Tamandua tetradactyla: one gene and its partner. The main gene of each other region encodes a partner of the protein of the gene in region 2 in a complex. Links are inferred from orthologs where the notes say so. Each region holds a gene or a part of one and is shown on either strand. Other genes may lie near its edges. The genes, in order: EID3 and SMC5.

Region 1 (16,075 bases), on a different chromosome or scaffold from region 2:
GAAGGACAGTGGTGAGGGGAAATCCTCCCAGTGGGCAGAACTTCGAGCAGTGCACCTGGTTGTTCATTTTGCTTGGAAGGAAAACTGGCCAGAGGTGCGTTTGTATACTGACTCATGGGCTGTTGCTAATGGTTTGGCTGGATGGTCAGGGACCTGGAAAGACCATAATTGGAAAATTGGTGACAAAGAGGTCTGGGGAAGAAGTATGTGGATAGACCTTTCTGAGTGGGCTAAAAACATGAAGATATTTGTGTCCCATGTGAATGCACACCAGAGGGTGACTTCAGCAGAGGAAGATTTTAATAATCAAGTGGATAAGATGACCCGTTCTATGGATACCAGTCAGCCTGTTTCCCCAGCAACTCCTGTTACTGCCCAATGGGCTCATGAACAAAGTGGTCATGGTGGTAGGGATGGAGGTTATGCATGGGCTCAGCAACATGGACTTCCACTCACCAAGGCTGACCTGGCTACAGCCACTGCTGAGTGCCCAATCTGCCAGCAGCAGAGACCCACACTCAGCCCCCGATATGGCACCATTCCCCGAGGTGACCAGCCAGCTACATGGTGGCAGGTTGATTACATTGGACCACTCCCTTCATGGAAGGGGCAGCGATTTGTTCTAACTGGAATAGACACATACTCTGGATATGGGTTTGCTTTCCCTGAACGCAATGCTTCTGCCAAAACTACTATTCGTGGGCTTACAGAATGCCTTATCCATCGTCATGGTATTCCACATAGCATTGCTTCGGATCAAGGAACACACTTCACAGCAAATGAAGTGCGGGAATGGGCACATGCTCATGGAATTCTCTGGTCTTACCATGTTCCCCATCATCCAGAAGCAGCTGGATTGATAGAACGGTGGAATGGCCTTTTGAAAACTCAATTACGGTGCCGACAAGGTGGCAAAAACTTGAAAGGCTGGGGTAATGTTCTCCAGGAAGCTGTGTATGCTCTGAATCAGCGTCCGCTGTATGGTGCTGTTTCTCCCATAGCCAGGATCCATGGGTCCAGGAACCAAGGGGTGGAAATGGGTGTGGTACCACTCACTATTACTCCTAATGATCCACTAGGAAAATTTTTGCTTCCTGTCCCTGCTACCCTGAGTTCTGCTGGTCTACAGGTTTTAGTTCCAAAACGGGGTGTGCTTTCTCCAGGAGAAACAACAGTGATACCACTGAACTGGAAGTTAAGATTGCCACCTGGCCACTTTGGGCTACTTATGCCTCTGGATCAACACACCAAGAAGGGGATTATATTATTGTCTGGGGTAACTGACCCTGACTATCAGAAGGAAGTAGGACTGCAACTACATAATGGAGGTAAAGAAGAGTTTTCTTGGAATATAGGAGATCCCCTGGGGCGTCTATTAGTACTACCATGCCCTGTGATTAAAATCAATGGAAAACTGCAACAACACAATCCAGGCAGGACCACTAATGGCTCTGAGACTTCAGGAATGAAAGTTTGGGTCACCCCACCAGGCAAAGAACCACGGCCAGCTGAAGTGCTTGCTGAGGGGAAAGGAAACATGGAATGGGTGGTGGAAGAAGGCAGTGATAAATATGAACTTCGACCACGTGATCAGTTACAGAAACGAGGACTGTAATGCTGTTTTGTTTGTGTTATACTATTTAAGTTGTAAGATAACAAGTTTAAGAATGAATGTTGCCCAAGGACTTGCACCCTATTCTGGAGAGATTTAATGTGTTTCCATTTATATGCTGGACAGTTGAGTATTGTCAGGTAAAAGAAAAAATGTGTGCTTATTTGTTTTCATTTGGAAATTAAGTATGGTCTAAGGTGATATATATGTGTGTGTGTGTGTGTGTGTGTGTGTGTGTGTGTGTGTGTGTGTGTGTGTGTGTGTGTGTGTGTGTGCGTGCGCCAAGTTGACAAGGGGTGGACTGTCATGGTTAGGGACAGGTGTCAACTTGGCCAAGTTGTGGTACCTGTTCATCTCATTGGGCAAGCGCTGGCCTGTCTGTTGCAATAAGGACATTTCATAGGATTAGGTCATGATCACATCAACTACATCCACAGCTGATCTTCTGCAATTAGTGATGCTAAATCCAATCATGGGAGGCCTTTTAAGGAGGACTCAGAGGAGACAGGTTCCATTCCTGCTTTGGCTGGTGAGCCTCTCCTGTGGAGTTCATCCAGGCCATCCATTGGAGTCATCGGCTTCGCAGCCTGCCCTGTGGATTTTGGACTCTGCATTCCTACGGTCACGTGAGACACTTTCATAAATTTTATATTTGCAAGTGTTCCCTGTTGATTCTGTTTCTCTAGAGAACCCTAACTAATACAGGTATATACACACGATGGAATATTATGCAGAAGACAAAATGAGGTCCTGAAGCATGCTAAGTGAAATAAGCTGGCACAAAAAGATAAATATAGTTTGATTTCACTATTATGACTCTGGTTAAAAGTGTAAAGTCCAAATCACATGATCCAGGAAGAAAATTTCTATTCATATTTAGCAATGAACTAGATGTTCCGTCTCTGCATCTGGAGTACACAAAATAAGTGGGCAATCTTATAATTTAACAGCTGTAACTTCAGCAAGGACTTCCAAAAAATATCTTCCTCAAAATCTTTACATTCTCTATCAAAAGGTTTCAATTATCAGTAAATGTCAAATAGTTTTAGTAAAGATGCTAAGGCAGTGAACAGAGCAATCTGATGGTGAGTAAAGAATCCAAGCATGGTCTTTTTGCTATTCTAAGAGTACCTTTTCCCCAAACAGGAGGTCTCTGGAAAATCTAAGGAATTAGGTTGGTAAAGACATAAAGTGAGGATTGGTAAAACAATGATGCATCTATGACTGTTAAATCAAAGGCTGACGAGACCAGGAAGCATTAGCTCCTTCACATGAGGAAAAGGAAGGAATGACTACTTCAGGAACAATTGGCAGACATTCATGACTAAGTTCAATTCTTGCTAAAAATCTCCACTATTTTTGGTGAAGAGCCCCACCTCTTCCTCCCCCACCACACACACACACACACACACACACACACACACACACACACACACACACACACACGACATTCCCCCCTAACCCACCCACTTTAACCTTGATGTCATTCATTTAATCTTTGGATTTTCCTTCCTTGTACCAGATTGAACTCAGAATAGTTTTAAAAGTTTATTGTCTTTGCTATGCATAAGAGATATTTACACACTTGTCAACTAATTAATAGACAAATGATAAAAAGTTACAACTACCAAATATTGCGTTCCTACAGAGATAAGGGAAAGAAGCTTACTGCATGCTCACTGTACCTTCAAAAAATGGTGTTTTTTTTTTTGAACACTTTTGAAAATTGCACTAAGAATCAAAATTTCGGCAACAATCTCCAAACAAGGGTGTAACTTATATTCTTAAACAACTGCAAAAAACAAACAACAAAAAGTCTCTACGGCTTTATGCTAAAGAACATTGAAATAAATCATGTATTTTAAATTAAACAAAAGTCTTTAAATCCAGGCATTTAGAATTCTATAAAGAAATGCATATTTGAATTGGAACAAATACTCCAGGCTCTTACATGATGAAACATCACTAACTCTAAAAGGCATGTTGTTTACAAGCAGATATTACAACGAGAAAAACTTGCTATCAGGGAAGAAATTACCAAAAAGATAAAGCCTATAACTGGATGGTAAAAAATTTTGTCTGAAGAAACGTGAAAAAAATATTTATTCTATAAATAAATAACTGGGGATACTAGTGTATGACGGTATTTATTTTTTGTCCAGTTCAACAAAATAAAATGGAAGTTTCCTAGAAATTGTATAGTTCTTCTGTGCCATAACTTCTCACACTTTCATGTGTTTGCCCTGTTTCCCTGCCTGCAATGCAGGCTTTCCCATCTTCTGTGACTAATTCCTTGTCACCTTTCAGCACTTGGTTGACACCTTCCCTCCTGTAGCAGAGATAAGATACTCTACTTTTGTTGAGTCTGGTCACAGGAGAAATTGTTTACCCACTTAGAGATCTTACTGTATCCTCCTCTGCAATGAAGCATGTTAACTGAATTTTTAGCCCTAAGGCTGCATATTAACTGCCTTTCTTGACCACTCATTTTTTTCACCAACTGTCCCCCCAACCTAATAAGAAACCCCTGATGTTCCCCAGAGCTCCTAGTAATGGAAGCAAAGCAGGTTATGAGAGCATCTGCATCTGTATTACCCAATACTTTTTAATTTATTAATCAATTATTTTATTAATTTTTTAAAAGCACAACTTATTTTAACTAGTATAGTCTTAAAGTGTATTTAACATTTTTTCCCATTAAAATACCTGTGACTTTTCTTTCATAAGATCATGACAATCTTTTAAGCTACCAAGAAAAATACACTAGAGAGTAAAACAATTTCTAATGTTCTTGAAAAAAAAGTTTCCCACTTTACAAGAGACAAAGTATGTTCTTCTATTTGGATTTTACTTTCTCCATTTTCAGATATTTAAGAAAAAACAAAAACGCATTTATGCTAAGCACAAAAATCTTTACTACGAGTTTGTGATCATAGCCTCTGAAATTTCAAAAGCTGCCACAATATTTTTCCAGTCCTGTAAACTCAAAGATATAACTCCTTGTTTCCTGCCATTGGAACTGCAATTGTTTCCTTTCCTAGTTTCATCAATATTAACTGGCTCTAATATTGGCAACCTGTCTTGGTCAAGCCTTATTCTTGCAAAACCATCCCTTATAATGAAAGAAACATAAAATATATTCTCCACAGTACGAGAAAAAGAGTTTGGATCAATCACAAATTCAAAATAGGACACAGGACTATCAGGATATTTTCGAAAGTAGGTTTGCAACAATCCCAAGATTCTTTCTACTTCTTTTTCTGTCGCTTCTTGATTACTACTAGGGTCCAACTTCCTCAGCTTTGTCGGCATATCTCTGTTTTCTTCCATTTTGTGAGATTTTTTCTGGTGTTCAGGACGTGGTTTCCGTGCAGAAGACTCATGCTTGAAAGAGCCAAAGATGAAGTGGAACGTCTCAGCTTGCAAGAGCCAGGTTGCTGCTTCCTTCTGCACCGTCTCCCAAAAGTGAACAGCCAAAGAAGCATCACAACCATCCAGCTCATCACGCTCATCACCCGCCATCCAGTTTAGGCCCACAAACATAAACAGACGGTCACAAAACGCTACTTGGTTAAAAAAGCTCGCATTAGAGTTTAACTGCTTTGCTTTTTCTTTACCCAGATCAGAAGCCAACACAAGAAACTGCGCGTCGAGGGCCGCTTCTCTCGTCCGGCTCACTCCATCGAACAGGACGTTGGCTTCTTCGAGGGCCTCGGTTAAGGACTCGCTCGCCGTGTTGACTATGTCGTCGCGATTCTGCTGCACGCTATAGATGAGCTGCCGGTACTGCCTGCGGATGCGCCGACATTTCTCCTCGTCATCCGCAAGCCCCAGGAGCTGGGGATCGACGTCTGCGTCCCCGGAGCTGGGGTCGTCAGAGTCGCTAGAAGGCCCCGCCGCCTCCTCCACCTTCCTCGACTCCGCCGCCGGCTTCACGGCGGGCTCACGCCCGGGCTTCTGTCTCTTCTCTTCGCCAGCTCTCGGGGAACCTTCTTCATCACACATGCCTCCAGCCACCGCCCTCGGCTGGGCGCCTCCCCGACGTTTCCCCCGCCGCGCACGCCGAAGCCGGCAGAAGCCAGAGGCCGCGCGCCTCCGCGCCTCAGCGGCCGGCCCAGCACCGCCCATGCGCACTTGGCGGCCGGCCCGTCCCCGCCCATGCGCACTAGCGGCCGGCTGGGCCCCGCCTCCGCGCTAGCGACAGGCCGCGGCCGCACGCCACGCAACAATGGGCACTTGAAAAACACCTGCTCAAGGGACAGGTGTTGGCTCAGCGCTTCCTGACAATGTCACTCAATTTGTAAAGACATGCTACGGCAAACTCAGGGGGGAAAGGTCCCACTCTTTAAAACATTCGCCGCGATACAGTGCAGTTAGGCCGACCTACATTTTTCTTTCTCGCGATGAAAAGGTCCTTTTTTTGAGAACCCGAAAGTCTGGTTAGATTATAAAATGCTCGCGGGGCAACGATAATGAAATGCACACCCCAATTATAGAGGCCAACTCTCCAGGATCAAACGCAAGGTGGACGCTGGGAACTCGTTCCCGGGGGCCGGGGAAGGGCGGGCGCGCGGGCGCGCACTCGCGAGGGGCCCCCGGCTCCCCACGCCGAGCGGAAGGCTACCGCGGGCCGCGAGCGCGCTCACGGGGACTGGGCCGCCAGGGTCGCCTGCGCGGCGAAGAGGCCTGGGGCCCGGACTCGTCGGGCCACGAAGGCGAACGCCGGGACCCGCCGCGACCCTGCGGGAGGCTCGCCCGCTAGTTCAGCGAAGCGGCTGGAAACTCGCTTCCGGCTGGAGAGGGCCGGTCAGTCCCGAGCACCCAGGCACAGGGAAGGGATTAACACTCGCTCTCAGCCCACGCCATCGAAAGCGCTTACTAACCACCACAGGTGCCGCTAGGGGGCTGAAGAAAAAAGGCGACCCACCACACCTGCCAATCATGGGCTTCAGGGGCCAGGAAGTCAATTAACCCGTAACTTCCTTCCTCTGCAGACTGGTTCATTTTTCTTAGGTAGTAGCATAACGTTTCATACGAATGCAGGAACAGCAAAACCAACTATTAAGTTACTCCAAAATCCTTATGATGCCACTCTTTGTCCACAATTATTTTAAGTAGGAGTAATTCAGAAAGATGTGTTTTTCGAAAACAACATGCATCATAGTTACCTGTGCATATACATTCTCCTCTGCATTAGCATCTCAAAAGCAAAGACTTGGTTTTAAACCTCCCAAACACAGCCGTTTTCACATAAAGGCACTCAAGCATGCACTGAATGAATAAATGAATGTAGATTAAAAACTTTGATCCAGCACCTATTGGAAGTTATTTGGCAGAAAAGATCAAATTCACAGATTAGTATAGGTCATTTATCCTACACACTGAAAGTAAAATCTGACTTCTTTTATAAAAAGTCAACCTCAGCTACACAGCCACTTCCCGGTTTCATGGTTTTCGATTGTTTGGGCGCCAATTTCTCTAAATACTAACCCACAGGAATTAGTGATTTTTGAAGCACATTATAATTGTTCCCACTTATAGGGGATGCCTGACAAAGCAAATGTGTCCAAGAAAAAATCTCAAGTTAAAAAGAAATCCAAAAAGAAAAACTGATGAAGAAATGGAGTTATCAGAGAAAGAGGGTAGAAACACCCTCTTAAACACCTTAAAGAGGGTTTAAAAACACCCAAATCATCTCTCTCCAGATGGAAAAACAAAGCATACTAATCTGAAACAGATAAAGATAACATCCAACAAGAGAAAAACCTGGCAACGTCTTTCAAGGAGTAGCAGAAAGTATTTACAATCTATGATGGAGTCAGTAATAATAGCAATTTGAGTAACAATATTAAAGAAAACAAACAAATCCAGTATCATCTCAACTGTCTGAAGAAAAGATTGCTACAACTGTGTGAAACAGAAAAATTTAACAGTGTCAAGTCTACTGAAAATGGAAAGGGCATAGCACAGTGCTAATGAAGAAGGTCTGGCAATATTGCAGGAAGAAACAGATAAAATAGTGGAGACCACAGAGTCAATGAGAACATTCAAAGCCTCAAAAGCAAACTTCACATTCTGACAAATGAGATGGAAGGAGAGGAGGAGAAGGTAAAACAGATGTTTCAAATGGATAGTAGTGAAGTACTCTCTCTTCCAGAGCTTTCTCAGAACAGTCTCAAAGCACCAGTACTTGAGAAAGAAATTTTGATGCTGATTCCAAACCAGAATGCTCTTCTGAAGGACTGGGATGTTCTTCACAATTCATCCCAGATGAAGGACATACTAACTTTTTCACTGAAGAAGCCTATAAGAGACTGGATGCCTCTTAACAAGTTTTTATTTATATGAGATTGTTTCATCTTAATTTAAACTTTATGAATATATAAAACTATTACCTTACAAATGATATTTCAGAGGCTCGGGCTTAAATTACATGCACTTTAAAATTAGCCTGTGCAGATCTACCATAAGCATCTAGTATAGTCCTGGAGACTCTGTTTTAGCAACTGGCAAGCCTGGAAAATCACATTTATTTATTATACTGCTGCATCTCTGGTTATTTCCCTGGAACCAGAAAATAAGAACGGCCACAATCTGTTAGTTAGTAATGGCAGAATGGAGGTCATTTATTGCTTAGTGCAGATAAGATATGATGCTATGAGTTAATATATGTAGTCTTTGCATGATACCTAGTACCTAGTTTACTCTCGCTAATATCATTTACCTGATATCTTGCAGTTTGTTGTCTGGTCATCAAGATGTTGAGAAATCCCCAAATGCCTTTAATCTTCTATAGAACTCCCTAGTCTTTTTGTAGTGTTAAGATTTGAGAGGTGCCTTTCACTGTGTTGGTAGCATCTACATTGTATTTTTTTATTGCATTAGTGAATAAATGTTGAATTTATTCTCCATTGTGATCAAAGGATGCTTTTATTTAAGAAAACTATTAAAAAGGAATTCCTAAGCAAGTTTATTCTCTTTAGTGACCCCTTTAAACACAGATCAAACAAAAAACCCTTCTTTCTAAACCATTTTTTCCTCACTGTGATAAGCATATGTATATATGTGTATCTAAATTATCACTCAACTATATAAAACAATTATTTCTAACCAAAAAAAAAAAAGTCAACCTCATGCCCTTTCTGGAAAACAGGGAAAATGAGACAATAACAAATTTGGGAATCAGGATCATTTTAAAGAGCCATGTTTTCCCCATGTCTGGCAATTACAAAATAAAATTTAAACCTATTTTAAATCTTAGGTGAAAACATACAGTTAATAATTCCAAGACCCAAAATGCAGAAAAGTTTGCTACTAGATGACCATATTCTTGGGAGTGAGGATTCTATCCTTCTGATAATTTATCTTCAATAAAAGCAGTTTATGAAAGCTCTCCAAAAGACAAGCACGAGGTATTTATTTTCTCCTGTGCTCAGAGGAAGGAAAATTTGCTTCACACACCAATTTGCTTCAAACACAGTCTTTCATCTGAAAATGTCAAAATGTTTCAGAAAAATATATAACTCCCCCAACCTACTTATAAAGTATTAGTAATTCCATTTACAGTGATTTCTCAGGAGATAACAACCCACACAACTCTCACAGAGGCACAGAACACATCAAGGCAAGCAGTATATGAATCAATTTTGACGTCCAGTACTTTCATTCTATGCTGGTCCTGTATCCAAGAACCTTAGTAAAATGTAATTTAAATCATCTTCAGAAAATCATACTTGCATTACTGACTGCAAATACAGCACATGATTTCAGACACTGCTACAAAGTAAAACAATTTCAAGTCTAGAGATTTCCTCATAGTCACAAAGAAATAGATTTCTACCCTTGTGAATTTCAAAATCACTACTAAATGGCTTAAATCTTCTCTATAATGCTCACCATTTTTACCTTCTTGACAGTTTGCCTATAAGCTGTTTACAAATAAACAATAATTTATCTTTTGCAGAAAATAGGACATTACCTAAACAGTAACAACTTCAGGTGCAACCTAAAGATTGCCTCACATTACTTACATGAACTGTGCTCATTTTCCTATGTTCTCTTCTGATCCTGACTCATATGCACTCACTTTTTGGTATAAACATCTTAACTTCCTACCACCAGCAATTTACATTCTGCCCTTTTTAAACTTCTATCAGATATAAAGGTCTGGTTTTATAATGAAAATGTGCAACGATATCAAAGTATGTATACATGAAAACAAGGACAAAATCATTAAAATGAAGTTATACTAGTGTTAAAGAATTAGTTTTATTTTTTCAAAAGATGTCCTATTTGTTGATATGTGATCTTTTACATATTAATAAACATTTTTCCCCAAAGAATCAACAAGTAGTTGTGATTTTCTAACCTATGGTCCAATTTCTACAAGTATTTAAATGCAGCCTAAAAAGGAAGCACACATGGAACTGTAACCCATACCAAACTTCAAAATATATTCTATACTTGGAAATTTTTTTAATGCTTTTTTGAATATATTTTATATTTCACAATTAAAAAAAACACTTAAAAAAGGAAGCACATATAATTTCAAGTTACATTGCTAAACTTTTCTGATTGGGAACAGAAAGTAGAAGTACACTGGTACTTCAAAGACGTAAGACCTCCCTTCTTTATGCAATAAGACTAGTTCAGTCAACTGTGAGACAACACTTGAGTAATGCTTCAGGGTAATTTAACTCCTCCTCATTTCCCTTCCTATCCTCTTTCAGGAGCTGGGGCTCTTCATTTCCTTTCTTCTTCTCTTCAGTCTTTTTTCCAATATTATTTTGCAGTCCTTTTTTTTTTTTCAAGAGTTCTGATTCACCAATTCCAATCACTCTTAAGCTCTTTCCCACTACCCCTACTACTTAACACAGACATGATGGGAAGGATGACAGGTCTCTCTGGTCACATAAGAAGCGAATTCACACAGAGAGTCCACTGTCTTTTCCAGTGGGATTCTTACTGCAGGACTAGCTTGTAACACATGGGTTTTAAAAAGATTCTTTTGAGCCAAAGCCAGGAATCCCCTACTCTAACCAGCTAAACCCACCCTGCTCTTAGCCACATTCCTAACGCATTCCACTCCTTCTTTCACAGGAGCATCGCACCCCTCAAAATTCAGGGTGTCTGTTTAATACAGAACTCTGAAGAAATGTGGTAAAAGTCCAAGTCTGGTTCATTAGGTATATTTTCTCTCTCATCTTAACATTCCTTAAGGTTATGCTTGTGTGTGTGCGTGTGTGTGTGTGTGTGCTTTGTTTTGTTTTTTGGTATCAAAAAAACAACAATAAAGTTTAAAGGTGAACTTTGCTATGATCAAGGCAGATAATCTGTGTGTTTTTAAAATGAATTTCTGAAAAGAGCATAGTAGGAGGAGATGAACCTGGGCTCCAATCTGATCAATTAGCTACCAGTGTTATTTTAAGCAGATTTCTCAGCCTCTCAATCTCTGGTGTTGTTAAAATGGGAATACTACTACTTAATACATCATAAAGTTACCCTAAGTACTGAGTGAGAACTATGTAATGGATCTGACACAATGTTTTCAGCTTCCGAGTAATAAATGTTAAGCTATCTGAAAGACAACAAAACGTTTAGTAAATGTGAGAAATTAAAAAGAAAAAAATTTGTAAATTTTTTTCACAAAATTGGATTGGGAACAGAAAGTAAACCCTTCCTGGCTGTTCTAGGAATGAAAGATTTTTAAAGGTTAAATCCATAAAGAGGAATACAGGAATATATCCCACTGTAACAAATACCAGTGGAAAGAAAATAACCATATAACAAAATGAAAAAACTACTAAGGCTTCAACTAATGAGAGCACATACAGCGCTTTGAAAGGGTCAGCCTCTCTACCAGAAATCCTAACACAGACCCACAAAGAGTTAGAAATCACGTGCAAAATTTTCTATGTACATTTTCCTCATGAACAGTTTCTAAGATTTCAGCTGATTCTCACAAGCAATGGGGACAACCAAATCAGTAGGCTGAGCCCTCAATCTTGGGGTCTGCCCCTATGAGACTCATCCCTGAAGATGATAGGCTAAGCCAACTTAAAATTAGGCCTAAGAGTCACCTCAGAGAATCTCTTTTGTTGCTCAGATGTAGCCTCTTGCTCTAAGCCAATATGGCAAACAAACTCACCACCCTCCCCCCATCTACACAGGACATGACTCCCACACCCTAACGCTCCCCCCATGACATGGGACATGACTCCCAGGGGTGTAAACCTCCCTGGCAACATGGGACAGAAATCCTAGGGTGAGCTGGGACTTGACCAAAAGGGGGTAGAGAGAAATGAGACAAAATAAAGTGTCAGTGGCTCAGAGATTTCAAACAGTGGAGAGGTCATCCTGGATGTTATCTTACGCATTATATAGATATCCCCTTTTTAGTTTATGGTGTATTAGAGTGGCTGGAGGGAAGGACCTGAAACTGTAGAGCTGTTCTCCAGTAGTCATGTTTCTTGAAGATGATTATATAATGATATAGCTTTTGCAATGTGACTGTGTGATTATGAAACCAGTCTGATGCTCCTTTTATCTACAGTATGGACAGATGAGTAAAAGATATGGATAAGAAATAAATAATAAAGGGAACAAAGGTTAAAATAAATTGAGTAGATTGAAATACTAGTGGTCAGTGAGAGGGAGGGGTAAGGGGCATGGCATATGTGAGTTATTTCATTTTTCTTTTTTATTTCTTTTGCTGGAGAGATGCAGATGTTCAAAAAAATGATCATGGTGATAAATACACAACTATGTGATGATATTGTGAGCCACTGATTGTAACCATGTTAAGAATGTATGTCAAAAATGCTTGTATTTATTTGTTGTCTACAATAAAAATCTTTAAAAAAAGTACTAGTAACTGTAGAAAAAAAAAAAAGGCCAGTCGCCAAGAGTCTCTGAATTTACTATTCTATTCAAATAAGATGGCATTATTATTAATGAAGTAAAAGAAGATATAACGGAAGTCATGTCTGACAAAATAATTCGACTCCTGCACTAAAATACTTTAGAGTACATAAAACCCACACCCTTGCACTGTGGTCAAAGTCATACCAACTTCAGAAAACCTAGTGCTAGCTGACTTGCCAAGCCTCAAGAATTAATACAAACAATAGTGAAGAGAATAGACTCTTTCAAGTTACAATCACAGCCAGTTACCAACTCTCTTGGAACAACTCAGACGTCAGCCAAGACCAAGAGCAATCATTTTGATAGAGAGACTAGGGGGACAGAACTGAGTATGTGGTTCTGAAAAGTGACAGTGTTGAAGGAACTTGGCTCTGGAGGCCTGGGTACAAATCAAAAACTTTTATACTATTACTTTCCACCTCTTTCTAAAATTCGAGTTTCTGAATTGTAAAATGAGTATATGAGATATCCACTCTGCCACACAGAGTGGTGGTGATGATTTTTTAATCATATACAAACATTGTTAACAATGTATTTTAAAACATGTACACTGCCCAGATATATTAAAGATGTGTTAAAGGTGACAATGTACTTAGCCCAACGTTGAGAACACGGTGCTCAACAAATGGCAGCTAAATCGAGGTAATGTGACTTCCTTCCCAACACTGTCGTCCCAGCACACAACGCTGCGGTCACACAGCCTTTTAAAACTCTGAACTGTGCTTTCCAACACGCTGCCTTGAATCTCTCCTCAACAACTTAGGTCTCTGATAGACAGCCCACCTTAAATAAAATCAGACACCTTTTAGATTTATCCCTCACTTAAGTCTTCTCCTCTGGTCCTACCACAATCCACTCTTTCAACAAATATTTACTGAATGCTCACTAGTTGTTAAAAAGAGCATGGAAGAATCAAACAGATCATTCTCGTCCTAAAGGAATGCACGGTTTAGGAGACACAGGGATGCAGAGCAGTGCAGCAAGCACCTAGTGGCCGATGGCTTCCTCTGTCCCAGCACCTGGCTGGAACACCAAGGCTCCCACGCGTGCAGCTCTGAGTCAGGAGGACACTCACATCAGGGATATCAGGTGTGGATCCCAACAGCAGGAGCAGAAAGCCAGATGCCAGAAGTGTGAGTACTCAGAATGCCCTTTGCAGGCTGACAGACTGGGCTCCAATCCTGACTCTGCCTCTTAGCCAGCCACCTAATCTTGGGCATGCTGCCAAGCTCTCAGGGCCTCCTTTTTCTCATCTGTGAAAAATGAGGAATACTTGCTGCGTCAGATTGTTGTGAGGATTTAATCTACTAAATTTAAGAGTCTACACATAGTAGGCATTCAGTAAATGGGAGCCACTATCATTGACAGGATATTCACTCAGACAGCTGCTGAACTCTATATACACAGGACCAATAAGGCTAGATGTCTACCGTTAGCATATAACCAAAAAATTGGCATAAGCAGGATTCCTCATTTTCCAGAGATACGAATTTGTAGAAGCACAGAGAGGGAAAGAGCAGCCAAATCTGGCCTTGTCCTCAAAAATGCAGGCAGCTGAAAAAATAGATTTGGGGAAGAGAAGTCAGGAATTAGAATAAAGAACAAAACAAAGGTGAGAAACTTTAGGGATTATAGTTGCATCAGTCAGTATCCCCAGGAGCCCCCAGTCACTGAGGGAACAGAACAGGAGATAACCAGAAAAGCAAGTTGGGACCAGATCCTGGAGGGCAAAGAATACCAGGCTAAGGAATGCGTACTTTACCCTGGACACAGATGTGGGGGCAATCAGAAGAGGACTCCGCAGCCAACAGACTGGGAAAAGAGGGAGATCAGATGTGGGAAACTGCTGAAATGGTTTTGGCAAGAGAAAACGAATACCCGAAATCAGTCTGGGTAAAAGTCAATAAAGGTAGGAGGCAGATATGGGCTAACAGGTCCCAGTAAATGAACTCACAGGAAAGACAGGAGAAAATTTGAAGCCTGGACCATCAGAAGAACAGAACAGAGAAAGGGCAAACAAGAGGTCTGCTGCTTCCATGGTGTTGTCCATCGAAGCAAGAGGAGAGGGTATTGGGACTCAAGATGGAATCACAACCAGTAAAACTTTACTGTAACCAGCACATAACCAGGATAAATGTATTTACAATTCTAACAATACTCCTCTTTTGAATCTTGGTAGTCCTTACCCTAAAGATTCCAAATTCTTCTAAGGTAAGGCACAGAACCTCATCCTCACTTCCCACATCTCAAAGCAGTTCCTCAACCCTCCTCAGGCTTCACCAATCAGCAGCCCCAAAGCAGAAAACACTACTAGGATAAGAGATTATCTCAGAGCAATGAATCAAAAGAAATGGAGTTTTCTGTCAGTTATGGTAGTTTAGCAGAATAGTGAGAATGAAAAGTAATGGTTGGAGAGTTATTATATTACCACTCGTTTTCTGATGTCTAGTCAGTTACCAGGTTTGAAAGGAGTCCTGTCTTCTGTCTACCTTTCCAGGCTGGACCATCTGACCACCACGCCTACAAGAACCTGTCTGAGCTCTCTCCCAAGGGTCTGTATAATTCATGTGGATGTTAATCACCCACTGCTTTGTGTCTGTCATCTTTCCTGTTATCATCTTAAAGAAATTATTCAAATCCGGTCTTGCCAGTTTTAGTCATATCTGATAACCTAAGTAACTTTGTCAGGCACTGAAGTTCCAATACGTACTTTTTCATTCAGTTTGTTTTTCCTCTCAATACCACAAACAAGTTTTTATACACATGGTTTCAAAACTCTGAAATCCTGGAGATACTGATCTGTATACAAAAAAAGGTTCTCTATTAAAAAAAACTGCAATCTTGCCCTTCAGAACAAAAGATGTTTATGAAAGTCAGATGTCTGAGCATTTGTAACCCTACTAAGTGCCTAGAATGTAGCAGCTCACAAGTTCCAATTTATATGGACATACAAGCCCTGGCCACAGGGAACATAATCCCCTATTTTTCTATTCAGGTATGAAGTGTATTTATCCCTTTTTGCATTACCATTTGCTTTTGGGTATTGAAGAATAGTCCTTTGTTTTCCCCAATTCTTTTATCAACTGATTTTGACCAAGCAGTCTCAAAATTGATATTCCTAAGAATTACCTGAGGGGAGCTTAAGAAAAAAGTAAAATAAAAACGCAGTTCCTAGTTACATTAAGGGACTACTTGAATTGGGGATAAGCCCAGGAATGCATTATTTAACAAGAACTTCAGGGGACTTTGTGCAGATGGTCCATAGGCTACACTTTTTAAAAACATTTCTTTAAAGGCGTCATCCTTTAAGTAGTCTCCTAGGCTCACCAGTTCCTTCCATCAGGATTCTCACTTTCATCTTAGTTACACTGTGAAAGCATGGTAGATTTTGCTGCAAGTGTTGTTGTTTATTGAGGGGAAAGGGGAAGTGAGATGAAGGGAAGAAACATTCAGAGGAGAAAGAAACGGAGGCCTTATAAAAAGCTCCCTTCCACTACTGATTCATGTTGCAATTAAAGTATGAAACTTAAACTTTTTTGC
Region 2 (15,566 bases):
ATAATATATTATTGAGACAGCTTCTTTCCTTAATCCTCAGGAATCAACCTCTGTTAGCTTCAAACTTTTCTTCTGCAGCTTCCCGACCTCTCTCAGCTTTCACAGAATTAAGGTCTTATGCTAGATTAGGCTTTGGCTTAAGGGAATGTTGTGGCTGGTTTGATTATCTATCCAAACCATTAAAACTTTCTCTATACCAGCAATACAGCTGCTTCCTTTTTTAATCATTCATCTGTTCACTAGAAAAGCACTTTTAATTTCTTTCAAGAATTTTTTCCTTTGCATTCACAACTTGGCTAATGGTTGGCACAAGAGGGCCTAGCTTTCAGACTATCTCGGCTCCTGACATGCCTTCCTCATTAAACTTAATCATTTATTGGTGTTGATTTAAAGTAAGAGATATGTGACTCTTTCCTTCACTTGCATACCTAAGAGGCCGTTGTAGGGTTTTTAATAGCCTAATCTCAATATTGCTGTGTTTTAGGGAATAGGGAGGCCTGAGGACAGAAGAGAGACTCGGAAATGGCCAGTTGGTGGAGCAATTAGAATGCACACAATATTCATTAATTAAGTTAGCCATCTTAAATGGGTGTGGTTCATAGCACCCCAAAACAATTATAATAGTAAAATCAAAGATCACTGATCACAGATCATAACAGATACAATAATGAAAAGATATGAAAAATTGTGAAATTAACAAAATGTGATACAGAGATACGAAGTGAGCACATGTGCTGAAAAAATGACAGACAAGCTTGAAGCAGGGTTGCCACAAACCTTCAATTTGTTAAAAAAAAAAAAAACACAACTATGAAGTGCAAAAAAGTGAAGGACAAACAAAATACGCTGTATTTGTTTTTGCCCTTGGCTCATTTTCTCCACCTTTCCAAAAGCCCAGCACTGCATTATAAAAGACAAACTTCACATATTTCTAGCATTTTAGGTGTTAGGTACTTGGAAAATTCTCTAAGTAGAGTCCAACATACTTCCAAAACTGGTAATCTCTTACCAACTTTTCCACCTGCCAACTTCATTCCTTATATTCAAACACTACATATTTACTACATCCAAGGAACTGAAACACAAGAATTGATTTGTTACTACAAGCAGTTGATTTAATTTGAATTAAAAATACATAAACAGTTATGTTAACTTACCTTATCTGCTCGTCCCATGAAAGAAGGTTTGCCTGCTAACCCAAGGCAAATGGCACATACAATGCTGGACTTCCCTGTTCCATTAGCTCCAATAATCATATTCAAGTGGGGTCCAGGAGATACTTCACAGATATCATACGTCCTGAATTATAAAGAGTTGAAATTACTAAACAGAGTTAAGAGGAGAATATTTTTTCTATAAAAGTACTTTTGTTACTTAATATTATCATTATTTACAGGCTCACTCAGATTCCTTTAAAAAGTCAACTAAACTTATAAACAATGTTATTTACAGGTTTTTAATAAACTAGAGGGAAAAAATCTATCAGTGAAAGAAATGAAAAGGCAACGATGCATATCCAACCAAAAAAAAAGTCAGTGGAAAAATAAGACTTTGCATACCTTTTTCAAAATAAGTGTTGACGAATTACTGATTGTATATGTAGAATGGAATGATATCTTAATGTTTTGTTTGTTAATTTTTTTTATTAATAAAAAAGTTTTAAAAAATTAGTGTTGAATAAAACAAAGTTTGATATAATTTATTCTTCTGTAATAATTACAATTCATAGGCTAATGTACAAACAAAATAATTTTATGACAAATTTTGTTAGAGAAGCCACGGCTTATCTTAATATGTGGATTTCATATTTATATTTCTCTTGAATTAAATGATTAATAGCAATCTCCAAATTTTAATATTTGAAACAATCCAGTCATATTATTTTTATTGTAATTAGAAAACTGAAGAATAACATATTTTATTTTAACTAAAAAAAAAAAAGATTCACCAAAGGACCTGTTGTTAGTCCATGTTCAAATAAATTTTATTCCTGTAGGAGGAAATAAGAGTGCATCACCAAGCACTTCTGTAATATTCCCTTATGCCAGAAAGCTGCACGCTGTCCAGTATCCTATCTACCAGCAATAGTTAGCATCTAATCCTTATTAACTGCTATAGCAACTATGGCAAAATGTGAAACAAACTCTGACTTGGACATCCTTCCAATCTGTCTTTGAATACCCTGAATTGGAACCCATAAAGAATGTCCCATTCCCAGAGGGTCTCAGCTAGCTGTCAGGTAACTTAACTAATTCCTAAGGAATAAATAATCTGCAACTATCTTGTCAGGTATATGAAGAATTTAAACAATCATAACTCATTTTAATACTCAAAGAGATTACTTACTTTGTAATTCCAAGTGATAATAAAAAAAAAAAACATAGGTGGAAAAGGGAAAGTATTTTCTGGTAAGTTTACCAACCCCACACCTCTCAATTCACATTACTTAGCTACTTTATCTTTTAAGATGTTTTGTTGTGTTAGCAATTTGAGGGATCCATTATTAAAAGGCTTTTCCCACTGTTTCCACATCAGCTTTACAGAGTAGTTTTTGATCAAGATGGGAAAAATAGCGTCCATAGTTTTTCTGCCTTAATGATTAGCTTCAAGAATTTATACATTAAATTCCCTTTTACAAATGGTAAAAATAACACATATGGCTACAACAAAACTAGTTTGGGCACTTCAGACAGCTGAAAAATTACCTTACATGGACCTTCTTAATCCCAACAAACAAAACTCCATTCTTTCAACACATGAATTTACTGCAGGGAAATCTTTGCACAAATGTCTTAATAAAATAGCAATGTAACTGGTATTTCAGAAAACAATAAAAATAATATGAAAAAGCAGAAAAATTCTGGTCTCTAACATATACAGAGCAATTATAAATAGGAATAACTGCCAAAAACAAAATAAACCCTCTGCATTTAAAAAAAAAAAAATCATTCTCTGACTACACCATTCATTGGGAATGCCCTTTTAGTGAGCTCTCTTTTCTCTGTCCATCTGAAAGAGTTATTGTCAAGGGCCCACCCTCTTCTCACTCTACACAGTTTGTCCGATAGCTCATGTTTTTCCCATGGCTTCAGATACCATCTACATGTTGAAAGTCACCCCATTTGAGTATTTATGCAATTACCCACTGCGCCGGTTTGAATCTGTGGTGTACCCCAGAAAAGCCATGTCCTTTATTCCTCATTCAATACTGCTGGGTGGGAATTTGATTGTACTATCTCTACAGAGATGTGACTCACAAAATTGTGGGTATTAACCTTTGATTAGAGGGAGACATGACTACCATTCCAGGTGGATCTTGATTAGTTTACTGGAATCCTTTAAAAAGAGGAAATATTTTTTTGGAAAGAGCAGCAGAGCCCCGAGAAGCAGAGACACACAGCCAGAGACCTCTGGAGATGAAGAAGGAATGTGCCCCTGGGGGAACTTCATGAAACAAGAAGCCTGGAGAGAAAACTAGCAGACATCACCATGTTGGCCATGTGCCTTTCCAGTTGAGAAACTATGAACTTCATGGGTCTTTCTTGAGTGACAGTAACTTCTAGTTGGTGCCTTAATTTGGACATTTTTTTAAACTTGTTTTAATTGGGACATTTTCATGGCTTTAGAACTTTAAATTTTCAACTCAATAAATTCCCTCTTTTAAAAGCCATTCTGTTTCTGGTATATGGCATTCCGGCTGCTAGCAAACTAGAATACCCACTCTATAGCTAATCTATTTAGGTATCTGACAACAATTACCTCAACCATAACATGTTCAAAAATTATTCACCGGTTTTTCTGATCCAAAACTATGCTTGTCATCTCAGGTAATGGCAACATCATTGATCTCATTGCCCAATTCAGAAACCTAGGCATTTGTTTTGTATCATCTCCGATTCTTCCATCTCCTTCAACTCTACCCATAACCTACCCCCAACTCCCCACCCCTGCCCCCAATCATTGAATGAATCACAAAGTCATGTTTCCTGGTCCTCTTAAATAGCTCTTGAATTCATCCACCTCTGCCACTACTCTGGTCCCCATCATCTCTTATAAGAATTATGGCAATAGCCTTCTTTAGTACTGCTTAACTCTTCCCACTCCTAATTTAATCTCGTTACTGCAATTTAAGCAATTATTTTTCAAAATGAAAATGTGATGTCACTTGAAGAGGGAGCAACAGACAGTAGATGGAAGGATGGATAAATCAGGACCCTTCACAATTTAGCCCTAGCTTCATCTTTCACTACTTTCTATCTCCTTCTCCTGTCCTCTGCTCAGACCTCTAAATTCCAACTATAATTTACTTCTTTGAGTTTCCTGACTACCTTCTTTTTTCTTCTTTCTCCAAACCTTTACTTGGAGACTGTACTCTCTTCCAGGCCATTTCCCGTCTCTAAAGCTAACCCTCTACTTCTTTCCTAAAACTCAAAATCCTCTCATTGTTAAACAAAGAAAACATCAAGCGGCTCTACACTTTTCCATCATTTTTTCTTTCTCCTCTTCACATAAAAGTGAACCCTCATTTATTCTACAATGGCCTGCATTGTTTCCCACTACATTGTTTCCCTATAAAGTTTCTCGCTTCTACTTTTTCATCAAAAGTCAAAGATTTACTAATTGTTGTATTTCATGGGCTTTTTTCAGTCTTGCTATTCAACTCTAACACAGTACATGTTTTTGAAACATTCTTTCTCCTTGGCTCCTGTGATAATACCCACACCATTCCCCCCACATTCTCTTCTTACCTCCCTGAAGAGCTAGTTCCTCCTCAGTCTGTGAGTTCTCCTGTGCTCACACTTAAATGATGGTATTTCCCCCAAGACTCTGTACTCGATCTTCAATTTCTCTTCTTTCCTTGTGTACAATCTCAACCATTCTTATAGCTACATACATGATTCCCAAATCTCTCATCTGTTCACAAACCTTCCTCTAAGCAATTATATATAATTGCTATGGAACAACTTAGATGGCCTGCAGGAAGCTTCAAGTCACAGGACCTAAAAAGCATTTGTTGTTATCCTCTCCAAACTGCTCGGTCTTCTGCATAGCAGCACTATCTGACCAACTAACCAAGTCAAAGACTTGGGGAAAATGCTGCACTCCTAACTTTCCCTCATGCTTCACAATTAATCTGTAGCTAGATCCTGTCAAATTTCCTTTCTTTCCACTCCTACTCCCCATTGCTATTCTGTTCAAGTCCTGATCACCTCTTGCTTTCATACTACACAAGTTTCCTTGCCTACAGTCTTGTACTCTTTTTATATCATCCCCCACACTGCTTCCAGAGTAACAAAGTCATTTCCTGTTTAAATCTCATCCTGCTTGCCTACAGGTAGAAGCTGGAATTCCTTGGCATAATTAACATATAAATTCTCAATGGCTACCTATCTCTTCAATATCACCTCTGTTCACAAATTCACTCACATCCTATGTTTTCCTTATATTGAAACACTAGAAACTTTCTAAATATACCAAACTGTTTCAGGCAGTTCCTCGGTCTGCAAAGGCCTTTCCGTCTTTGTTATGGGAAGAAAAGCCTCCTAGCCTTTCAAGATTTTCATTGATTCCCTTTACAAAGTCTTTCCTGTTCTGTGGGCATATTAACTACTTCTCCCTTTGTGCCCCTATGGCATCCTGATGTATACACTATTTTGGTATCTACTTCATTTAATTATATTTACTTATCTTTCCTGATCTGGGATCAAATAGCAACTTAGCTATTTATTGGCTGTGTAAACTAATAAGTTAGTTTTATTAAAACGTAATTACTAAATTTTAAAACGATTACTAACTGACTAAAGGGAGAGAAAAGGAATCAGGAAAGAGAGCTGAATTTGCAGGGCTCAAGAATGTTAGTAGTCCCAGCAACTGACAGCGAGGTTTAATTTCTTGCAGACGAACCCCCCATTTGGAGCAACCTTTACCATCTTTCTATTTCTCTCTGATCACTGGCAAATGCCTACTCTTTAACAATCTGCCACGGCATCACTGTCACTAGGATTTAACTGTTGTCTTCTCTGAGTGCCATAGTTTTCTATAGGCCCACTGTTTCGTGAATTATAGATTATGACCCCTATGGACCGTAACTCTCAGTAACCTTACACATCCGCTGCCTGACATATGAAGCCTTCGAAAAACGTTAGCGGAACGATTAAAAACAAGACTCCACAGAACACACGCACATAAGAAACCAACACACACGTCAATTTTCAGGCCTGTATATAAACAAATCCTCACGGTAACACAGGACTTCAGCACGAATTCACTGCCAGACCGACAACCCTGGCGCAGTCTCTCCCCACACCGACCGACAAACACCCCCATACCCCACGGTGCGCACACGCATATACGCAGCTTGTGCCCCCCGCCTGCGAGCCCGCTTGCCGCCTCGGCTGCGGCGCGGCCTCTCGGTCACTCACAGGAAATTCTCCATCGCGATACGGACGATAGAGCCTTCCACGAAAGAGCCGGACGGTTGCAGCGGTAGCGGCAGCTGCGGGGCCGAACTCCTTCTCTTGCTCGGGACTTCCGACGAAGGGTCTCTCGGAAGAAGTCTCTTAGAGGCCAGAGGACTCGGGGTCGACATTTTCCTGCTCGGAGTCGCCATCCTGGCTTCCTCTCCGAGCTGCACCGGCTTCCGTTCCCACTGACCTGCAGCCGCGGCGCCCGGGCTCCCGACTCCCGCGCGAACTGCCGGGCGCGCAACACAGCCCGCGAGCCCTCCAGGCGCCTGCGCAGTTCTGGCCTGGCGGCGTCACCTGCCCCGTCCCGCTCTGCTTTGCAGGCTAGGAGGCGAGAGTTGCTGGCGGGCGCTAGTGTGCTGACGGGACTCTGTACCTGCCTGTTGCTTTTAGTATTTTGAAAGACCATTTTAGCGTCGGAGAGATCCGATTCGCTTCCCGGAACCCGACTACGTGTGGCGGGAGCGGGTAGAGGGAAGCGGTTGCGAGTGGCACCCGAGGCGCTGGGCGGGGGTGGCGGCCGGGGTGGAGGCCGGCGGAGTTTGGTCGGGCTTGCTGGACTCCTCCCAGATGCCTGAGCGCGCCTGTCTTTGACTTTTTCTCTAATTGGTTTCCCTTTTCCTTTTTTTGCTCTTTTTCCTTCGCTTCAGATCAGGCCCTCGCCGCAGGAAAAAAAAAAAATAACTAAAACTCTTTCAAATGACCCCATGATGCTTCTCTCAAAGCGTCGTGTTAAGTCTCTTGCTCTTTCAAACTTGTGAAAAAGAGTGCACTGCACTGATAATCTTTACTGACTCTCCACCTGCTGCCTACCAAATTCCCTCGTAAATTTTCTTCCCCAGCTAAAATGGGGTAGATTCACTGAAAATATGATTCTACTTTAACCTGCTCACATTTACCTAGCTAATCCCCATTATAGATACGGGCCTGGGGCCTGCGAGGATCTCCGTTCACTGAACTAACGTTTTATCCACCACGAGCTCCGGAAGCAGCAGTAAATGAGGCAGAAAGATCGCGTTCCTCCGAACTTAGTAGTTGTGAAAGAGAATGAGTGAACCAACAAATGATCAGGGTAATTCCTGACGGTGATAGATGCTGTGAAGAAAATAATGTGATGGGGGAAGGCACGGAAGGCTACCAAAGGATGCGATGTTTGACCTGAATCTTGAAAGAGAAGAAGCGAAGTGTGTGAAGATCTGAGAAAAGGAAAAGGGACCAGCACGGACAAAAGCCTTGAGGTGGAAACAACCTGGGATGTTTGAAGAACAAAGGGAAGTCCAGAGCTGGCTGCCCGTTACGGTGGCAGAGTTTAAATTTTATTTTAAAAGGAGTAAGAAACCACTGGGTGATTTTAAGCAGGGGACTGACATGACCTGATTAAAGTTTTAAAATGGCGACTCTGTGGCATGAAGGGGGTCAAATGTGAAATCAGGAAGGCTGTTTACCATTGCAATGGAACCTTGATTCTTGACTCCCAGATAAATGCTCCTTTCTCACATACAATGGTTATGACTCGTGGAAATTATAACCAAACAAAACAGAATAAGTAAAAAACGTGTGAATTTGTGATGGTTATGGGAAATTTAAAAACTTAAAAAGAACTTTAAAACAGTTCAAGTGGCAGGCAATAATAATATTAAAATACTCAGAGCACAATTCTAGCATCCCTCTTTAAAAAGAAATTTTGGCATTCTGCTTCAAAATCTTTAGAAGAGTCAAGTTCTTGGAAGGAATAATTACATTTGGGGGAATATATATGAATGGAAAAATAAGAGTATAGATCATAGTAACTGGAGGAAGGTAGAGAACCAGTCTTGCTCATTTTGTACTGTAATCAGGTCTTGAGTGAACTAATGAAATTGTGTTTCTGAATTTGAAAGTTAAAAATGAGTCTCTAAATGGGGAGAAATTCAACTTCCCCAAGTTGAATTCTTGATATTCTCACAAGCAGTATGGACAACCAAACTATAGGCTGAGCCCCCAGTCTTGGGGTTTGTTCATATGAAACTTAACCCTGCAAAGGATAGGTCAAGTCTACTTAAAATTTAGGCCTGAGAGTCACCCCCAAAAGCCTCTTCTGTTGCTCAGATGTGGCCTCTCTCTCCAGCCAACACAACAAGAAAACTCACCACCCTCCTCTGTCTACGTGGGACGTGACTCCCAGGGGTGTGGACCTTCCTGGCAACGTGGGACAGAAATCTTAGAAAGATCTGAGACTCAGCCAAGGGTTTGAGAAAAACCCTAGAATGAGCTGAGACTCAGCATCAAGGGGTTGAGAAAACCTTCTTGACCAAAAGGGGAAGAGTGAAATGAGACAAAGTGTCAATGGCTGAGAGATTCCAGAGTGGAGAGGTTATCGTGGAGGTTATTCTTATGCATTAAGTAGATATCACCTTGTTATCCAAGATGTAATGGAGAGAACTGCCTGAAAATGTAGAGCTGTGTTCCAGTAGCCATGTTTCTTGAAGATGATTGAATAATGATATAGTTTTCACAATGTGACAGTGTGATTGTGAAAACCTTGTGCCTGATGCTCCTTTTATCTACCTTGTCAACAGATGAGTGGAATATATGGAATAAAAATAAATAATAAGGGGAACAAATGTTAAAATAAATTTAGTTTGAAATGCTGATGATCAATGAAGGCGAGGGGTAATGGGAATGGTGTATATAATCTTTTTTTTTTCTGTTTTCGTTTTATTTCTTTTTCTGTTGTCTTTTTATTTCTTTTTCTGAATTGATGCAAATGTTCTAAGAAATGATGAATATGCAACTATGTGATGATATTGTGAATTACTGATTATGTAGAACGGAATGATCACATTAATGTTTTAGTTCATTTGTTGTAAATTTTTTTTTTAATTTTTTTATTAATCAAAAAAAAGAAAAGAAATTAACACAACATTTAGAAATCATTCCATTCTACAAATGCACTCAGTAATTCTTAGTATCATCACATAGATGTATGATCATCATTTCTTAGTACATTTGCATCGATTTAGGAAAAGAACTAGCAAAACAGCAGAAAAATATAGAATGTTAATATAGAGAAGAGAATTAAAATAATAATACTAATAATATATATATATATATATATATATATATATATATATATATATAAAGGAAAAAGAAAAAAAACAAAAACAAAAGATACAAACACACAAACAAACAAAAAACCATATTTCAGGTGCAGCTTCATTCAGTGTTCCAACATAGTTACATTACACTTAGGTATTATTGTGTTGTCCATTTTTGAGTTTTTGTATCTAGTCCTGTTGCACAGTCTGTATCCCTTCAGCTCCAATTACCCATTATCTTACCCTGTTTCTAACTCCTGCTGGTCTCTGTTACCAATGATATATTCCAAGCTGATTCTCGAATGTCGGTTCACATCAGTGGGACCTTACAGTATTTGTCCTTTAGTTTTGGGCTAGACTCACTCAGCATAATGTTCTCTAGGTCCATCCATGTTATTACACGCTTCATAAGTTTAGTCTGTCTTAAAGCTGCATAATATTCCATCGTAGGTATACGCCACAGTTTGTTTAGCCACTCGTCTGTTGATGAACATTTTGGCTGTTTCCATCTCTTTGCAATTGTAGATAATGCTGCTATAAACACTGGTGTGCAAATGTCCGTCTGTGTCTTTGCCCTTAAGTCCCTTGAGTAGATACCTAGCAGTGGTATTGCTGGGTCGTAATCCATTCTGCCATTCTATGTCTTTTGATTGGGAAATTCAGTCCATTAACTTTTAGTATTATTACTGTTTGGATAATATTTTCCTCTACCATTTTGGCTTTTGTATTATATATATCATATCTGATTTTCCTTCTTTCTACACTTTACTCCATACCTCTCTCTTCTGTTTTTTCGTATCTGACTCTAGTGCTCCCTTTAGTATTTCTTGCAGAGCTGATCTCTTGGTCACAAATTCTCTCAGTGACTTTTTGTCTATAAATGTTTTAATTTCTCCTTCATTTTTGAAGGACAATTTTGCTGGATATAGGCGTCTTGGTTGGCAGTTTTTCTCTTTTAGTAATTTAAATATATCATCCCACTGTCTTCTAGCTTCCATGGTTTCTGCTGAGAAATCTACACATAGTCTTATTGGGTTTCCCTTGTATGTGACAGATTGTTTTTCTCTTGCTGCTTTCAAGATCCTCTCTTTCTCTTTGACCTCTGACATTCTAACTAGTAAGTGTCTTGGAGAATGCCTATTTGGGTCTATTCTCTTTGGGGTGTGCTGCACTTCTTGGATCTGTAAATTTAGGTCTTTCATAAGAGTTGGGAAATTTTCAGTGATAATTTCTTCCATTAGTTTTTCTCCTCCTTTTCCCTTCTCTTCTCCTTCTGGGACACCCACAACACGTATATTTGTGCGCTTCATATTGTCATTCAGTTCCCTGATCCCCTGCTCAAGTTTTTCCATTCTTTTCCGGATAGTTTCTGTTTCTTTTTGGAATTCAGATGTTCCATCCTCCAGTTCACTAATTGTAGCTTCTGTCTCTTTAGATCTACCATTGTAGGTATCCATTGTTTTTTCCATTTTTTCTTCTTTGTCCTTCACTCCCATAAGTTCTGTGATTTGTTTTTTCAGATTTTCTATTTCTTCTTTTTGTTCAGTCCATGTCTTCTTCATGTCCTCCCTCAATTTATTGATTTGGTTTTTGAAGAATTTTTCCATTTCTGTTCGTATATTCAGCATTAGTTGTCTCAGCTCCTGTATCTCATTTGAACTATTGGTTTGTTCCTTTGACTGGGCCATATCTTCAATTTTCCGAGCGTCATCCATTATTTTCTGCTGGTGTCTGGGCATTTGATCAGATTTCCCTGGGTGTGGGACCCAGCTGGTTGAAAGCTTTTTCTGTGAAATCTCTGGGCTCTGTTTTTCTTTTCCTGCCCAGTAGGTGGCGCTCGTGGCGCTCGTCTGTCTGCACGGCAGTCAGCCCGGGAAACCACGCGTGGAGGTGGGGGTCGCTGGCCGCCGCGGCTTGGGAGAGTGCCGGTCCTAATTGCCCAGCTGGCCCGAAACGCCAAGCGTGACGGGAGGGCCCCGCTATCCAACGTTCCCAGTCAGACCGGGGAGCCACGTGCGTGGAGGGGACCCCAGTCGCCAGCCGGCCGGGAAAACGCGCGCCCCTCGGGTAGCTCACCGCAGCAGATTCTCCCTGCCCGTTCAGCTGTTCCAGAATGGGGTACGCTGTCTTTTTGGTCTCTGTCGTGACTCCGGGAGCTGTTTCGTATTGTTTCTGTTTCTTTAGTTGCTTTTCTGGAGGAGGCACTAAGACCCGCGCGTCTTACTAAGCCGCCATCTTCTCCGGAAGTCCATTTGTTGTAAATTTTTTTAATAAAAAATATCAAGTAAAAAGTTATCACAAATACCAAAAAAAAAATGAGTCTCTAAACTTGTGATGAACCTACAAATGCAGGCACATGAGTCCTCTAAACAGCTGCCTGTCATGCATTAGCACCATCCCTTAAAATGGAAAATGCTATTGGATTTGCTTCTAATGACAAAAATAATACATGTTAAATGCAGAAATTTTAAGAAAACACAGAAAAACAAGCATGCGCAATGGGAAAAATTACCCATAATTCTTTTACCCAGAGCTAAGTACTGTTAAGATTTTGGTGTATATTTTGACATTTTTTTTCCTTGTATACTTTTTTCCTTCCAAAAAATAAGATGATACTGCACATATAGTACTATTTGTACTGTTGTTTAACTCCCTTTTCCTCAATATATTATGAATATATTTCCTTCCTATGCCCTTAAATATTCTTCTATGACACAGCTTTAAATAACTATATGTTATTCCATTAAATAGATGTACCACAATTTCTTTAAATCATTACCTTTTATTGGGCTCTGTGTGACTGGAAGTTCACATGTAACTGGAATACTTCTGAAAGGCTATATCAGCTCAGTGCTTACTAGCATCTTTAAAATTTTCATAGCACCCCTAAAAGTGTACATATTTATCTTGACACATTTGGATTTTTTTTAATGTCACTGGTGAAAATGCTTGAAGTGGTGATGTTAAAGAGGCAGAGGGAGGGAGAAGGCTTTGGAAATAGAATATAGTATCAATTAACCAGAATCCTATGCTAAGGAATAAATTAACGTAGCAGCTAATTCTACTCTTCCCAGAGTTTAAAGTCCAGCCACGAACTGGGGTTATCTTCCCCTTCTTGCTAGCTAAAAGATGTATCAGAGCAATTGTACTGTTTCTACTCACCATAGAATGAGTGAACTGGGGCCATTTTAACTGACAGCCTTTCTGTGCTGCAGAAACTTTAAAGCTAATGCAAACAAAAAACTTGCAGAAATGATCAGGGTGGAAAGTTATAAATACATTTCACCTTACCTATTGTATTGTCATCCTTGGCTTCACTCCAGGCCTTTTGTAAGGTTGTCGTAACACACATGCCGCATGTGTCATAATGTGGGGCATGGTGCAAAGAATGGAAGTCTACTGAGACTATCTCTGACTGAATTAGTTTACTATTCCTGCTCTAAAAAGAACCACCACATGTATCAGGAATAATCTGAGGTTTACATTACAAGTGTAAAGGATTATTACTTTTGCTTTTGGCAACCACATGAAGTGGAAGGTGAACCCTGTGGTCTAGAAGGGTGGTGTTTTGGTTTCTTAAAGCTGCTGGGATGCAATATGACAGAAATGGAATGGCTCTTTAAAAAGGAATTTATTAGGTTGCAAGTTTACAGTTCTAAGGCTCTGAAAATGTCCAAACTAAGGAATCCAGGTAAAGATACCTTGATTCAAGAAAGGGCTGATGACGTATGGGGTTTCTCTCTCAGCTGGGAAGACACGTGGCAATGTCTGAGAGCTTTCTCTCACAGCTTTTTCACACAGCTTCCCCAGGGCATTTTCTTTCTGCATCTCCAAAGGTCCCTGGCTGCGTGGGCCCTAAAGCTTTTTCTAAAAATAGTTCCCTCTTAAAGGATTCTAATAAGTGATCCACTTTGAATGGATGGAGACATCTCTACAGAAAACACCTAATCAAAAGGTCCCGCCCACAATTGGGTGGGTCACATCTTCATGGAAACAACTTAGTCAAAAAGATCCCACCCAACAATATTGAATGAGGATTAAAGAACATGGCTTTTCTGGGGTGCACAACAGTTAAACTGGCAGAGGTGGTAAGTCAGATGCTAAAATCTAAGAACTTAGTGCCCACACACACAAAACAACCCCATACGTTCTAATAAACCTCATTGAAAGAACTAATGGGGGGCGGGCCACGGTGGCTCAGCAGGCAAGAATGCTTACCTGCCATGCCAGAGGGCCTGGGTTCGCTCCCCGGTGCCTGCCCATGTAACAAAAAAAAAAAAAAAAAAAAAAAAAAAAGAACTAATGGGAAAGGTCTTGGCAGGAATAAGGAATTCTGAGAAGAACAAAGACCCTTCCCCCAGTGGAACTAAGCTACCACCCAGTATCCTTCTACTAAAGTTTTTAATTTTCAAAAATTAGTTTCAAACATCATACAAAAGCTTAAAACAATCGAAACATTTGCTTCTTCTTACTATAGTAGTAGTGAGATAGTACTGGGATTGGTTATATTAATAGCTATAATGTTAGTAGCCATTTTAATACTAAGCATTTACCGTACACCAGTTACAATTCTAAGCACTTTTCCATATTTCATTTTATATTCTGGATCACTGTCTCAATGGATTTGCCTGTCTTAAAAATTTCCATCTCTTGGATACAAAAACCAAATGAAAGACAAAAAAAAAAAAACCCCACCAACAAGTAATACAACTTAAAGTGTTCTTTGTTATGTGTCATGATGGAAAGCCTAGAGATAAACCAGCTTTCATCTCTTTCTAGGACATAAAGTGAGAAAGCAGTATTAAGTTGGTATTTCCCTTCCATTTCAGAAAGATCACAAACAAAGGTACCAGAATACTGTGTGAAATCTTCTCTGCAAGTCTTTGCAAATTGGACTGAAAATCTTGCTCACTCAGGCTTGGTCAGAAGCATAAGCTGAGGCCTGGGAGATCTAGGGTGAGAGTGTTTTCCCTCACATCCTGTTACTTCCCAGAGGAAAGAAAGTTGGTAATTGTCAGAACTGCAGTAAAACTGACCGTATAGGTCACATAAATTATAAAATAAATGAGCTCTTTGGCATCAGTCACCAAGAGTGACACTTTGTCTCAGCATCTCTAACAAACTAGGATGCTGTTGAGCCCCCTATAAACTCATTGGTTTCAAGTTCTCACTTGCGCAACTTCAGTTGGTAGCCATAAATTTTGTTTTATAATTAAAATTGCATTTGCATTTTTATTATTATTTTAGGAAATTTGAAGAGTACAAAAAAAAAAAAAGCAGAAACAAACAACTATTAGTCCATATTCCAACAGTCAAGAATTAATATTGTCCCCAATCTGGGACGATTTCTTCCAGTCTTTTTATCTATTAGCTACTTCTTAAAAAATTACACATGAAACTTATGGCTACATTCTCCTCTTTAAAAATAGAATATAAAAAAAATAGTGTCCATTTGACAATTTTTTCCTCAATCTTGTTCCTGTATCACATATCCCCCTTAGAGTTGATCACTCTTACACACTTGTTCAGTATGTAATGCAATGTCCTTTTACAGCATTTTAATATTTTTACATGTATTTCATTTACAGAATGTATGTAATGCTATTTTGAGTGTGACTATATTACATAAATATATGTATTATATTCATGCATATATAAGCATATTACATAAAAAAACTGTGGTAAGAAGAGATATGTAGCTTGGTTTTTCATTCAAAGATATATTTTTGAAATGTATTTATGTTGATATGTGTCAGTCTGGTTCCCCTTTAATTGCTTTAAAGCTTTTGTATAAATATATTGCACTTTATCCGTTATTCTATTGATGGACATATAGATTGTTTCTGATTTTTCATTTTTATAAACAAGGCTTCAGTGAACATCCTTGGGCATGTCTTTATGTATATGTGCAAGCATTTATCTAGGATAGATACCAAAAAAAAAAAAAGAATTGCTAAATCATAGACTGTTCTTCCATTTCTTGTTATTTTGGCTGTTGTTCACTGTGGCTAATTTCTTGGTAACT

The links.
Region 1: SMC5 (region 2) and EID3 share a complex: the UniProt entries of both Homo sapiens proteins name them as parts of the SMC5-SMC6 complex. The link is inferred for Tamandua tetradactyla from reciprocal best matches to the Homo sapiens genes SMC5 and EID3.

Annotation. Positions count from the first base shown.
Region 1 is NC_135333.1:174,444,041-174,460,115, reverse strand, and holds EID3 (EP300-interacting inhibitor of differentiation 3), read right to left. Parts: upstream 5,730-16,075; 5' UTR 5,618-5,729; coding exon 4,529-5,617; 3' UTR 3,148-4,528; downstream 1-3,147. UniProt on the Homo sapiens protein: Tissue-specific component of the SMC5-SMC6 complex, a complex involved in repair of DNA double-strand breaks by homologous recombination.
Region 2 is NC_135328.1:100,311,123-100,326,688, reverse strand, and holds the start of SMC5 (structural maintenance of chromosomes protein 5), read right to left. Parts: upstream 6,707-15,566; 5' UTR 6,611-6,706; coding exon 6,423-6,610; intron 1,300-6,422; coding exon 1,158-1,299; intron 1-1,157. UniProt on the Homo sapiens protein: Core component of the SMC5-SMC6 complex, a complex involved in repair of DNA double-strand breaks by homologous recombination.